Linked DNA regions of Macaca fascicularis. The protein of the gene in region 3 interacts with the protein of the main gene of each other region in a pairwise test. Links are inferred from orthologs where the notes say so. Each region holds a gene or a part of one and is shown on either strand. Other genes may lie near its edges.

Region 1 (3,650 bases), on a different chromosome or scaffold from region 3:
ACCCAATCCTTTCTTACTCTGTTTTTTTCTTAAGAAGTCACCCTCACTCATAAATCAGTGAGGAGGGCGGGATGCCTCAGTGACTTCTTGACTCCTGTATTAACTTAACTTAAAAGTGTATTAAACAAAGTATAAAATGAAATGTTGGTTAATTATCTCCCACAATATATAAAAAAGGCCAAATGGTAACTGCTACCCCCATTCTACCCCCGTATCCCCAATATAACAGATACCTGATTCGATCACTCGTCCCACTGTAACCCCAGCGGCTTTCTACTTGCTGGAATCTATTGATGCAGCATTCCTTTCCTCTGAGGCAGCACCTTGGTCGGTCAATGTATTCAACTCGGGGTTTAGGGTTGACAGTAAAATGAAGAAAGAGGTTTACCACTTCACGATCTGACAAAATTCCAGATTGAGCAGGACCTGTGGAAATAAAAACATAAACCTAAAAAAAGCAATTTGATTTCAATTCCTAACTTTGGAATACTCCACTTAAAGTAAATTCAAATCTAGAGGATGTAACATAAAAATAGGGAAAAAAAATCTTAGCATATATAATCTTTGCATATATTTTAAAGTTTCGATAAATCCATTTGAGGTTAAACACATTAATTAAAATGTTAAAAGCATTAATTAGTCAAAATTTAGATTCAGGAATAAATGCTGTTCCTTATGGATGCCAGGAATCCTCCTTTCTCACCTTATATAAAAATCAACTCGAGATGAATCAAAGACTTAAATCTAAGAAACCATAAAAATTCTAGAAGACAGCATCTAGAAAACTCTTCAAGACATTGGCTTAGGTAAATAATTCATGACTAAGAACCCAAAAGCAAATGCAACAAAAACAAAAATAAATGAATGGAACCTAATTAAACTAAAAAGCTTTTGCACAGCGGAAGAAATAATCAGCAGAGCAAACACACGACCCACAGAGTGGGAGAAAATATTTGCAAACTATGCATCCAACAAAGGACTAATATCCAGAATCTACAACTCAAACAAGTCAGCAAGAAAAAAAACCCAAATAATCCCAGGACAAAGTGTGCAAAGGACAGGAAGAGACAATTCTCAAAAGAACATATACAAGTGGCCAACAAACATATGAAAAAATGCTCATGTTCATCACTAATTATCGTGGAAAGGCAAATTAAAACCGCAATAAGGTATCACCTCACTCCTGCAAGAATGGCCATAATTAGAAAAAAAAAAAAAGATGCTGGCATGGATGTGGTGAAAAAGTAACTCTTTTACACTGTTGGTGGTAATGTAAACTACTACAATCACTAAGGAAAACAGTATGGAGATTCCTTAAAGAACTAAAAAGGGCCAGGCGTGGTGGGTCATGCGTGTAATCCCAGTACTTTAGGAGGCTGAGGTGGGCAGATCACAAGGTCAGGAGTTTGAAACCAGCCTGACCAACATGGTGAAACCCCATCTCTAAAAAAATATACAAAAATTAGCTGGGTGCAGTGATGGGCGCCTGTAGTCCCAGCTACTCGGGAGGCTGAGGCAGGAGAATCGCTTGAACCTGGAGGCGGAAGCTGCAGTGAGCTACGATCGCACCACTGCACTCCAGCCTGGGCAACAGAGCAAGACTCTGTCTCAAAAAAAAAGAACTAAAATTAGAACTACCATTTGATCCAGCAGTTCCACTACCGGATATCTACCCAAAGGAAAGTAAGTCATTACATGAAAAAGATTCTTGCACATACATGTTTACAGCAGCACTACTGGCAACTGCAAAAATATGGAGCCAAGCTAAATGCCCATCAACCAATGACTGGATGAAGAAAATGTGGTATATATACACCACAGAATACTACTCAGTCATAAAACAGAACGAAACAAAGGCCTTTACAGCAACTTGGATGAACTTGGAGACCATTATTCTAAGTGAAGTAACTCAGGAATGGAAAACCAAATATCATATGGTCTTACTTATAAGTGGGAGCTAAGACGCTATGAGGAGGCAAAGGCCTAAGAATGATATAATGAACTTTGAGGACCTGGGCGAAATGGTGGAAGGCAGGTGAGCGATAAAAGCCTACATGTTGGGTACCATTCCCCAACATGGTGAAACCCCGTCTCTACTAACAATACAAAATTTAGCCGAGCATGGTGGTGGGTGCCTGTAATCCTAGCTACTCGGGAGGCTGAGGCAGGAGAATCACTTGAACCTGGCAGGTGGAGGTTGCACTGAGATGAAATTGTGCCACTGCACTCTAGGCTGGGTGATGACAGAGTCTTACTCTGTGTCTCCAAAAAAAAAAAAAAAAAAAAAAAAAAGGAATAGAATAGCATTCAAATGAAAGATGGAGCTTTCTACCCAGAAAAATATCCTTCACAAACGAAGGCAAGCTGGGCTCAGCAGTGTGCCCCTCTAGTCTCAGCTACTCAGGAAGCTAGGGTGGGAGGATTGTTTGAGGCCAGAATTTTGAGGCTGTGAATAGCCACTGCACTCCAGCCAGGGCAACATAGCAGGGCCTCATCTCTTTAAAAAAAAAAAAAAAAAAAAAAAAGTAAGATAAAGCTGTTTTTAGACAAAAGAAAAAAAAGAGTTGAGAGAATCTGGTTAGTATCCTGCCTGTTCTAAAAGAAATACTGAAGGGAATTTTTCAAGCTAACAGAAACGTTTCCAGATAGAAGCACACATCTGGTCATACAGAAAAAAATGAAGATAACTGAAAGGGCAAATATATAGGCAAATCAAAATGATTATTGACTTTAAAAATAATGTTTTGTGGGCTTTGTAACATATGAAAAATTAAAATACACAAAATAGTAGCACCAAAGGCTACAGAAGGTTAAATATAGCAAAAGTATCAATAATGCCTTTATTATAGTGTGGAAAATTTTAATTAAAATTTTTTAATTTAATTAATTTATTTATTTAGAGACAGGGTCTCACTGTCGCCCAGGTGTGGAGAGCAGTGGTGTGATCATGGCTAACTGCAGCCTTGAACTCCTGGGCTCAAGTGATCCCCAGCTCAGTCCCCCAGGTAGCTGGGACTACAGGTGTGTGCCACCACTCCAGGCAAATTTTTAAATTTTTTTTTGTAAAGACAGGGTTTCCCCATTTTGCCGAGGCTGGCCTTGAACTCGACTCAAACAATCTACCCGCCTCAGCCTCCCAAAGTGCTGGAACTAAAGGCATGAGCCACTGTTCCCCACCTAAAAATTTTAATTTTTAAGATTTAATTTAAAAATCAGTAAGAATATATTCTTGTAATAACAAGGGCAACCCACTAAAATAATAATAAAAGACTCTTTAATAAGGGAGGCTGAGGTGGGAGGATCACCTGAGCCCAGGAGGTTGACGCTGGAATGAGCTGAAATCATGCCACTGCATTCCAGCCTGGGTGACAGAGGAGACACTGTCTACAAAAAAAAAGAAAGAAAGTTTAATAGACTATTAATCATATTAAGTATAAAGTGAATCAAATATTCCATATAAAAGGCAAAGTCTTTCAGACTGAATTTTTAAAAAATGAAGCTTACAAGAGACATGGTCAAAATAACGTAAGGCTAAAAGTAAAAGGATGAGAAAGACATAGAATTTTTAAAACCTTGAGAAACTATACCAATATCAGACAAAGACTTTAAAACAAGAAGTTTAGGCCGGGCGTGGTGGCTCATGCCAGAAC
Region 2 (3,650 bases), on a different chromosome or scaffold from region 3:
CTCCCGGGTTCACGCCATTCTCCTGCCTCAGCCTCCGAGTAGCTGGGACTACAGGCGCCCGCCACCACGCCCAGCTAGTTTTTTGTATTTTGAGTAGAGACAGGGTTTCACCATGTTAGCCAGGATGGTCTCGATCTCCTGACCTCGTGATCCACCCGTCTCGGCCTCCCAAAGTGCTGGGATTACAGGCTTGAGCCACCGCGCCGGGCCAATTTTTTTTTTTTTTTTTTTTAGTAGAGATGGGGTTTTACCATGTTGGCCAGGCTGGTCTCAAACTCTTCACCTCTGGTGATCTGCCTGTCTCAGCCTCCCAAAGTGCTGGGATTACAGGCATGAACCATTATGCCCAGCCTGTATCTTTTTTCTGTTTTTTGTAGAAATGGGGTCTCCCTATGTTGCCTAGGCTGGTCTAGAACTCCCGGCCTCAAGCAATCCTCCCTCCTCGGCCTCCCAAAGTGCTGGGGTTACAGGCATGAGCCACCGCACCCTGCCAATAACTTTTTAAACTATCACAGAAAAGTCCAAGGCACATTTTTTTTTTCAGGTAGAGTCTCGCTTTGTTGCCAGACTGGAGTGCAGTGGCGCAATCTCGGCTCACTACAACCTCCGCCTCCCAGGTTCAAGCGATTCTCCTGCCTCAGCCTCCAGACTAGTTGGGATTACAGGTGTCCGCCACCACTCCAGGCTCATTTTTGTATTTTTAGTAGTGACGAGATTTCGCCATGTTGGCGAGGCTGGTCTGGAACGCCTGACCTCAGGTAATCCGCCCGCCTCAGCCTCCCAATGTGCGGGGATTACAGGCGTGAGCCACAGCGCACGGCACAAAACACATTTTACTACCAGGCAGGATCCTGCTGCCTCCAGGGCCCACCCCGGTCCCGCCTCCAGCCCGTGCCCGCCCCCACCCCGTCCCGCCTCCAGCCAGGCCTGGCCCCGCCCCCGCCCCGTGCCGGCCCCGCCCCGTGCCGGCCCCGCCCCGTGCCGGCCCCGCCCCGTGCCGGCCCCGCCCCGTGCCGGCCCCGCCCCGTGCCGGCCCCGCCCCGTGCCGGCCCCGCCCCGTGCCGGCCCCGCCCCGTGCCGGCCCCGCCCACCTGCGTGAGCAGCATGAAGGCGTTGTCGGCTCGCAGGTTCTTCTTCAGGAACTCCACGCAGTGGGCCTCCAGCGCTGGCACCGCGTACTTCTTGGCGGTGTATAGCGTGGTCATCACCGTCTCCGGGCCGATCTGCACCTCGTCCGAGTAGAGAAACCTGCAGAGGCAACGCGGGTAGCCATGAGATGGGACCGCCATGCCCGCCCCCAGGGAACAGCGTCAGAGGACCACTCAGACCTGGCCGCCTGCCCTTGAGCCTGCAGGGCCCAAACGCCCCACATCAGGCTCCCCGAGGAACCTTCCAGAATTAGCCCTTGTCTGTTGCCCTCTGACCTAGGGACATGACTTGGCAAGGCAGTCACCCATGAAAACAAGAGGCTGAACCCATCCACACAGCACACACCCGGAAGCGTCTACACGGCCTGTCTCGTTCTTCCCGGGATGCCCCAGGAGAGGGCACTGGGAGCTGGGTGTCTCCTCCTTGGGTGCCTTTTCCATGAGGAACTCTTGGTTCCCCACCTCAGGCCCCACCGAAAACCTCGACCATTTCTGGGTGATCACAGAACCCCACACACTAGTTAGGCTCATGGATAATCATGGACAACATTACTGTATGCCAGCGAGGGGCCCACACCACGCTGAACACGATGCCAGCCAGTGGCCCACACTGAATACAGATCAGAAGTTGGGCCGATCAAAAATAGAAGCAAAGGCCGGGCCTGGTGGCTCGCGCCTGTAATCCCCGCACTTTGGGAGGCTGAGACAGGCAGATCATCTGAGGTCAAGAAGTTCCAGACCAGCCTGGCCAAAATGGTGAAACCCCGTCTCTACTAAAAATACAAAAATTAGCTGGGCGTGGTGGCGGGCACCTGTAATCCCAGCTACTCAGGAGGCTGAGGCAAGAGAATCGCTTGAACCCAGGAGGCAGAGGTTGCAGTAAGCCAGGATCAAGCCACTGCACTCCAGCCATGGTGGCAGAGTGCTACTCCAAATAAAAAAAAAAAAAATTTTTTTCTCAGGTGGATCACCTGAGGCCAGGAGTTTGAGACCAGCCTGGCCAACATAGAGAAACGCTGTCTCTACTGAAAACATAAAAATGAGCTGGGTGTGGTGGTGAACGCCTGTAATCCTAGGTACTTAGGAGGCTGAGGCAGGAGAATCACTTGAACCAGGAAGGCGGAGGTCGCAGTGAGCTGAGATCACACCACTGCACTCCAGCCTGGGCAACAGAGCGAGATTCCATCTCAAAAAAAAAAAAAAAAGAAAAAAAAAGGTGCCTCTGGAACCCCTCACTGCACAGGAACACAGTTCTAGAAATCTCCACCAAGCCAGGGCCTCTGAGGTGGTGTCAGACAGGGTCTGCGTTCTCTGAGGTCCCCCTCCCCGCACCCGGCTCCCCAGCAGGAAGCATCCAGAAGCGTTACTTGAGCAGTGCAAGGAAGGCAGCGGGTTCCACGTCGGGCAGCTCGATCTCTGTGGACGTTGTGGCCATTCCCCCGTTGAACATGGCATCAAAGACGGCGCTGCCCACAGCCAGCACGAACCTGGCACGGGAGAGAGGAGGCCCTGGTTAACCCCATGGCCGCCACCCCATGGTGGGGAGGGCCTGCCCGGTATCTTGGATGACCACCCCACCAGGGGTCCCCACCAGCCCCCAGCAGGCATGTGCCAGGCCCCCTGATGGCAGAGGCTTCTGGAAGGGGCCTGGGACAGCAGGAGGGTGATGCAGATGGACCCACGGCAAGGACAGACAGGGCTGGGACCATGCCCTGGACCACACAGGGCCTCACACTCTGCCAGCCCTCACCATCCTCTTTCCTTCCAGGCGTCAGGCACGCATTCACGCATTCCCACATGCATGCATGCATTCATTCACAGATGCGTTCATTCACTCGCTCATTCATTCACATGTTCATTCATTAACTCATTCATTTCCATGTACATTCACTCACTCATACACATACACTCACTCATTCATCCACACATGCATTCATTGACCCACTGATTCATTCCCATGGGCGTGCATTCACACGCTCATTTATGACCCGCATTCATTCATTCACTTTCTCATTCATTCACTTTCTCATTCATCGCACTCATTCGCTCACTCATTCATCCAACACGTGAATTTATTCGCTCATTCACCCATTGACACACACATTCATTCATTCCCACATGCACTCATCCACTTATTCAGCCTCATTATTCACTCACTGATTCACACATTCATCTACTCTCTATCACTTTCCCGCTCACGCATTCCCTCATGGGCACACACTTTCCCAGGGAGTCAGCTACAGGCACAGGGCCTGGCCTGAGGGAGACAGACAAGGACCAAGTGGCCGAACAGCCCCCACTGAGTGAGGGAAGAGAGAGGAGCGTGGTCCTATTCGGAACACAAGGCCCAGGGAAGCCTTGTGGGGTCATCTGAGCCACCACGCCGGTGGGGAAGGGCATCAAGGCCCAGGGAACAGCAGGAGCATGGGAGGAGCGTTAGGAGGCACCAGGGGCAGCCCCAGCTGGGAAAGCGGTGGCTGTGAGGACGCTGTGGGTTCTGCC
Region 3 (3,650 bases):
GCCTCTCTCCCCCAGGCACGAGGGCAAGCGAGGCTCAGTTTATCCATCTTTCCCAAACCACACTGTTCCTTTTCACAGAACCCTGCCTCTTGAGACTGGCTAAAACTCGTAGTCTTCATCAGCCATGTCAATGGCCCAGGCAAACTTTTCCCGCTGGGTTTTGTTGTAAATCTTCTCAATTGGGACGCCCCACTTCTTGCACCTGCAAATAAAGGAGAAATAAGGGGGATTAGGGTGACTCAGCAATGGCCCATATCTGAAGCTCAGGGTCAGATGTTCCATCTTCTCTTTCACGTCTGTCTAGTGAGGATGCAAATTAATAGTGCACCAAGCATGTTCTAAAGGTTTTATGTGATCAACTCATTTAATCTTGGCAGTGATCTCTAAAGTAGGTGCTTCTGCAGATGTACAAGTAAAAAAGGTACAGATGAAGAAACTGAGGCAGAGACGTTAGGTAATTTACTGATTTTCTCAAACAGCTAGGTGGTAAGTGACCTGAAATTTGAACCCAAGCAGTTTTTCTCCATGTTCTTAACCCTATACTATATTGCCTTTTAAGAGCTAACCAAACCTCTAGCACCAAACAAGGCAAAACGAGCAGAAAGAGGTACAAAAGAGTTAGGTGGAACCTTTAGCCCGGACTAGCAAGTGCCATAGGGGAGGATATCTCCACCTATGCTCAGAACTTAACAGCTCAAACTAAACATCTTCCAAAACAAAGCCACTTATTTCAGATGTTATGTGACAGTGTGTGTGACACACAGAGAGAAACCTAATATTTATCTGCCTTTGTTAAAGACCCCTCTGCCTCTCTGTGTAAGTTGCTCAGATCTCTATTCTCATCTTTATCTCTTGTTCCTACCTTCAACTGCAAAAAATTTCAACGAAAAGTTTTGTTGAAGGGTAGAGTTGAATGGGCTCTTTCCTATTTTGCCAGAAGCTAAGAGTTTCCATTCCTGTCCTAAAGTTCCATAAGGAATAGGGATGGAACCTGCCTCTTAAAAACATAACATACACTACAAGGCAGTATGACAGCACTGACCATTTAGGAGCAACCAGAATGTTGCAATGCATCTACAGACAAGGTTCAGCAACCAAAGTAACTTGTACACAGCTGAAGCCAGAAGTTTCCCCATAGGACTAGAAGTGTGCAGCTTAGGAATGGCATGTGAAGGCCACCAGTGCCCTCCACCTTTCTCAAGCTAGCAGCAGGAGCTCAAGGAAGGTTCAACACTTACCAAGCCACTGTGATCCTAGGGTCCAGATAATTGAGTTTGGAGGTTCCCAAGGCAATTTGTTTATTTTCCTCTCGGTCTGTGGCTTGAACTTCCAGCTTCATCAACTGTTCCTCCAGTCTCTGCACAGCCTTCTTCTTTGACTCTACTACCCTAGAAGAATAGCACAGTCCTCAAGAACCAGGCCTGGGCTCTAAACAAGAGCACACTGTACCCATGCTGCCACTTTGAGTCAATAAAAGCCCTAGTACAGAGATTTCCAAAAGACATCCCTCAGAAACCATAGAAAAGCCAGGGCCCCAGGACCTCTGACAGATGCTGCACACACTTTTCCCCACCCGCCCCAACTTTTACAATACCAGGTACGTACTTCTTGGTCTTTGCATCCTTCATGACCTTGGCATCAGCCTTAGCACTTTTCAGGTCTCTCCGGGCATCTGCTAGCTGTTCCTTCTTGGCATCAATCTAGGGGAAATAATAGTGGTAAGGTTATGAGCTGTAGAGGAAAAATGGCTCCCTCAAGACAAGGTGAAACCTAGATGTTATCTGGACCAAGCTGTCTCTGTCAGTGGTTTGTCAGATAAAAACACCAAGGGTGGCTTCATGAAGGCAGGGAGAAGATGCACAGGGACTACTGAATTCAACTATTTGTTCTTCAGTGATCCTGCAAGAAACAAGGGTTCTACAGCATAGTAACCTAGGGGCTCAGGGAAAGGAACCCGCTGGGGCTGGGAATCTGGGTGCTGATCTTTCCATCAGAGAACACTCTGCTGTCAGACATCTGGGAGAACGGCTACAAATGACAGCTGTTTATCAACTAGATCCTGTGCCAGTTTTTAGCTTTCATTCCAAGAACACTGTAGGAGCTACTCTTTAGGAAGCTGAGCCAGGATACTTGCATCTACTGGGCAACCCCAGCTCATTCCTCAGATCCCACCAGTACTCTGGGAAGGCGGCGACAGCTTCTCAAGGAAAATGGATGCACTGAAGAGAGTACTCAAGGGGCTACAAACTGGCAATTAAAAGATACCCAGGAAGCCAAACAGCTCAGCCAGTCTGTCCCAAACCAGGACATGGCAGGGCCTAGCTTTGGCATTCTGTTTTTAAAAGGAGAGAGGTTGCCGGGCGCGGTGGCTTATGCCTGTAATCCTAGCACTTTGGGAGGCTGAGGTGGGTGGACCACAAGGTCAGGAGATTTAGACCATCCTGGCTAACATGGTGAAACCCCATCTCTACTAAAAATACAAAAAATTAGCCAGGTGTGGTGGTGGGCGCCTGTAGTCCCAGCTACTCGGGAGGCTGAGGCAGGAGAATGGCATGAACCTGGGAGGTGGAGCTTACAGTGAGCCAAGATCACGCCACTACACTCCAGCCTGGGTGACAGAGCGAGACTCCGTCTCAATAAATAAATAAATAAAATAAAAAGGAGAGAGGTCTGAGGTGGGAAGGACCTTAGTTGTCACTCAATGGATGTGAAAACACTTTCAGCTGTGGAGCTTTTTTTCCCAAGTGAAATCTCGTGGAATCCATATCTATAAGGGAAGAGACAAGGGCAGTTTCAGCCTTTCTTGCTTGTTAGAATCCTTGAAGCACCACTGGTGAGAAAGTTCTTAGATTCCTGCTTAGAGACAGCAGTGGGTAACAACATGGAGCTAGAGCCCCTGTCAGTGAGCTCACGCTGCTCTGAGGACAGAAGAACCCCATATCTATGACCATCTAGCTGATCTGTGAGGTTAACACAACCTCCACAGAGTAAATAACATGTCTGACACACACTGGGCTGCTCACTGAGCCCAGAATTGTTTGTTAAATACACACAGCCCAAGACTGGAAACAGAGGCCACCATTGTGAGAGAATCACTAAATATGTTTTACTATGAATGGCTTACTTCCAATATCTATGTTGTCCAAAGCCAAACTGAGGGGACTGATTCTATATACAAAAGCGTCACAGACACCACTAGCCAGATTCTTTTTAGGATAGAAATGTAGCAAACCACAATCTTTTAACCATTTCTGTGAATGCTAAATTGGCAGGCTATGTCAAATTCTCTCAAAGCATCAAAGACTCCATTGATTCACTTGGCAAAAAGGGGCGTGTGTTTGCTTTGTGGGCACACAGGAGAGGAATCCTGGGCTTGGAGGGCTCGTCTGGCAGGCAGCCTGGGCTGCCCAAACAGTGGTTCCAGAGTGAGAGCAACAAAAGACCTCCTCATACTCCTGGGAGGGGTCTTCCTGAATTAGGTAAACAGCACCTGAATATTCATGCTTTTATTTCTGGCTTGGAATGATAACATGAGGAGAATAAACAATTCCAGATGACCAGCATTTAACAGAGTGGCAGCAAATGTGAGCTGCTAGGATGGGCCATCTATAGAGTTCTTTGCCTGCCAATCATATGATCCAAGGACTCAA

The links.
Region 1: the proteins of TOP1 (region 3) and BTBD1 interact in a two-hybrid assay, tested with the Homo sapiens proteins (2 studies listed by BioGRID). The link is inferred for Macaca fascicularis from reciprocal best matches to the Homo sapiens genes TOP1 and BTBD1.
Region 2: the proteins of TOP1 (region 3) and BTBD2 interact in a two-hybrid assay, tested with the Homo sapiens proteins (2 studies listed by BioGRID). The link is inferred for Macaca fascicularis from reciprocal best matches to the Homo sapiens genes TOP1 and BTBD2.

What each region holds. Positions count from the first base shown.
Region 1 is NC_088381.1:68,115,900-68,119,549, reverse strand, and holds part of BTBD1 (BTB/POZ domain-containing protein 1), read right to left. Parts: intron 427-3,650; coding exon 234-426; intron 1-233.
Region 2 is NC_088393.1:2,623,201-2,626,850, forward strand, and holds part of BTBD2 (BTB/POZ domain-containing protein 2), read right to left. Parts: intron 2,636-3,650; coding exon 2,516-2,635; intron 1,249-2,515; coding exon 1,092-1,248; intron 1-1,091.
Region 3 is NC_088384.1:97,227,962-97,231,611, reverse strand, and holds part of TOP1 (DNA topoisomerase 1), read right to left. Parts: intron 1,701-3,650; coding exon 1,606-1,700; intron 1,389-1,605; coding exon 1,239-1,388; intron 203-1,238; coding exon 100-202; 3' UTR 1-99. UniProt on the Homo sapiens protein: Releases the supercoiling and torsional tension of DNA introduced during the DNA replication and transcription by transiently cleaving and rejoining one strand of the DNA duplex.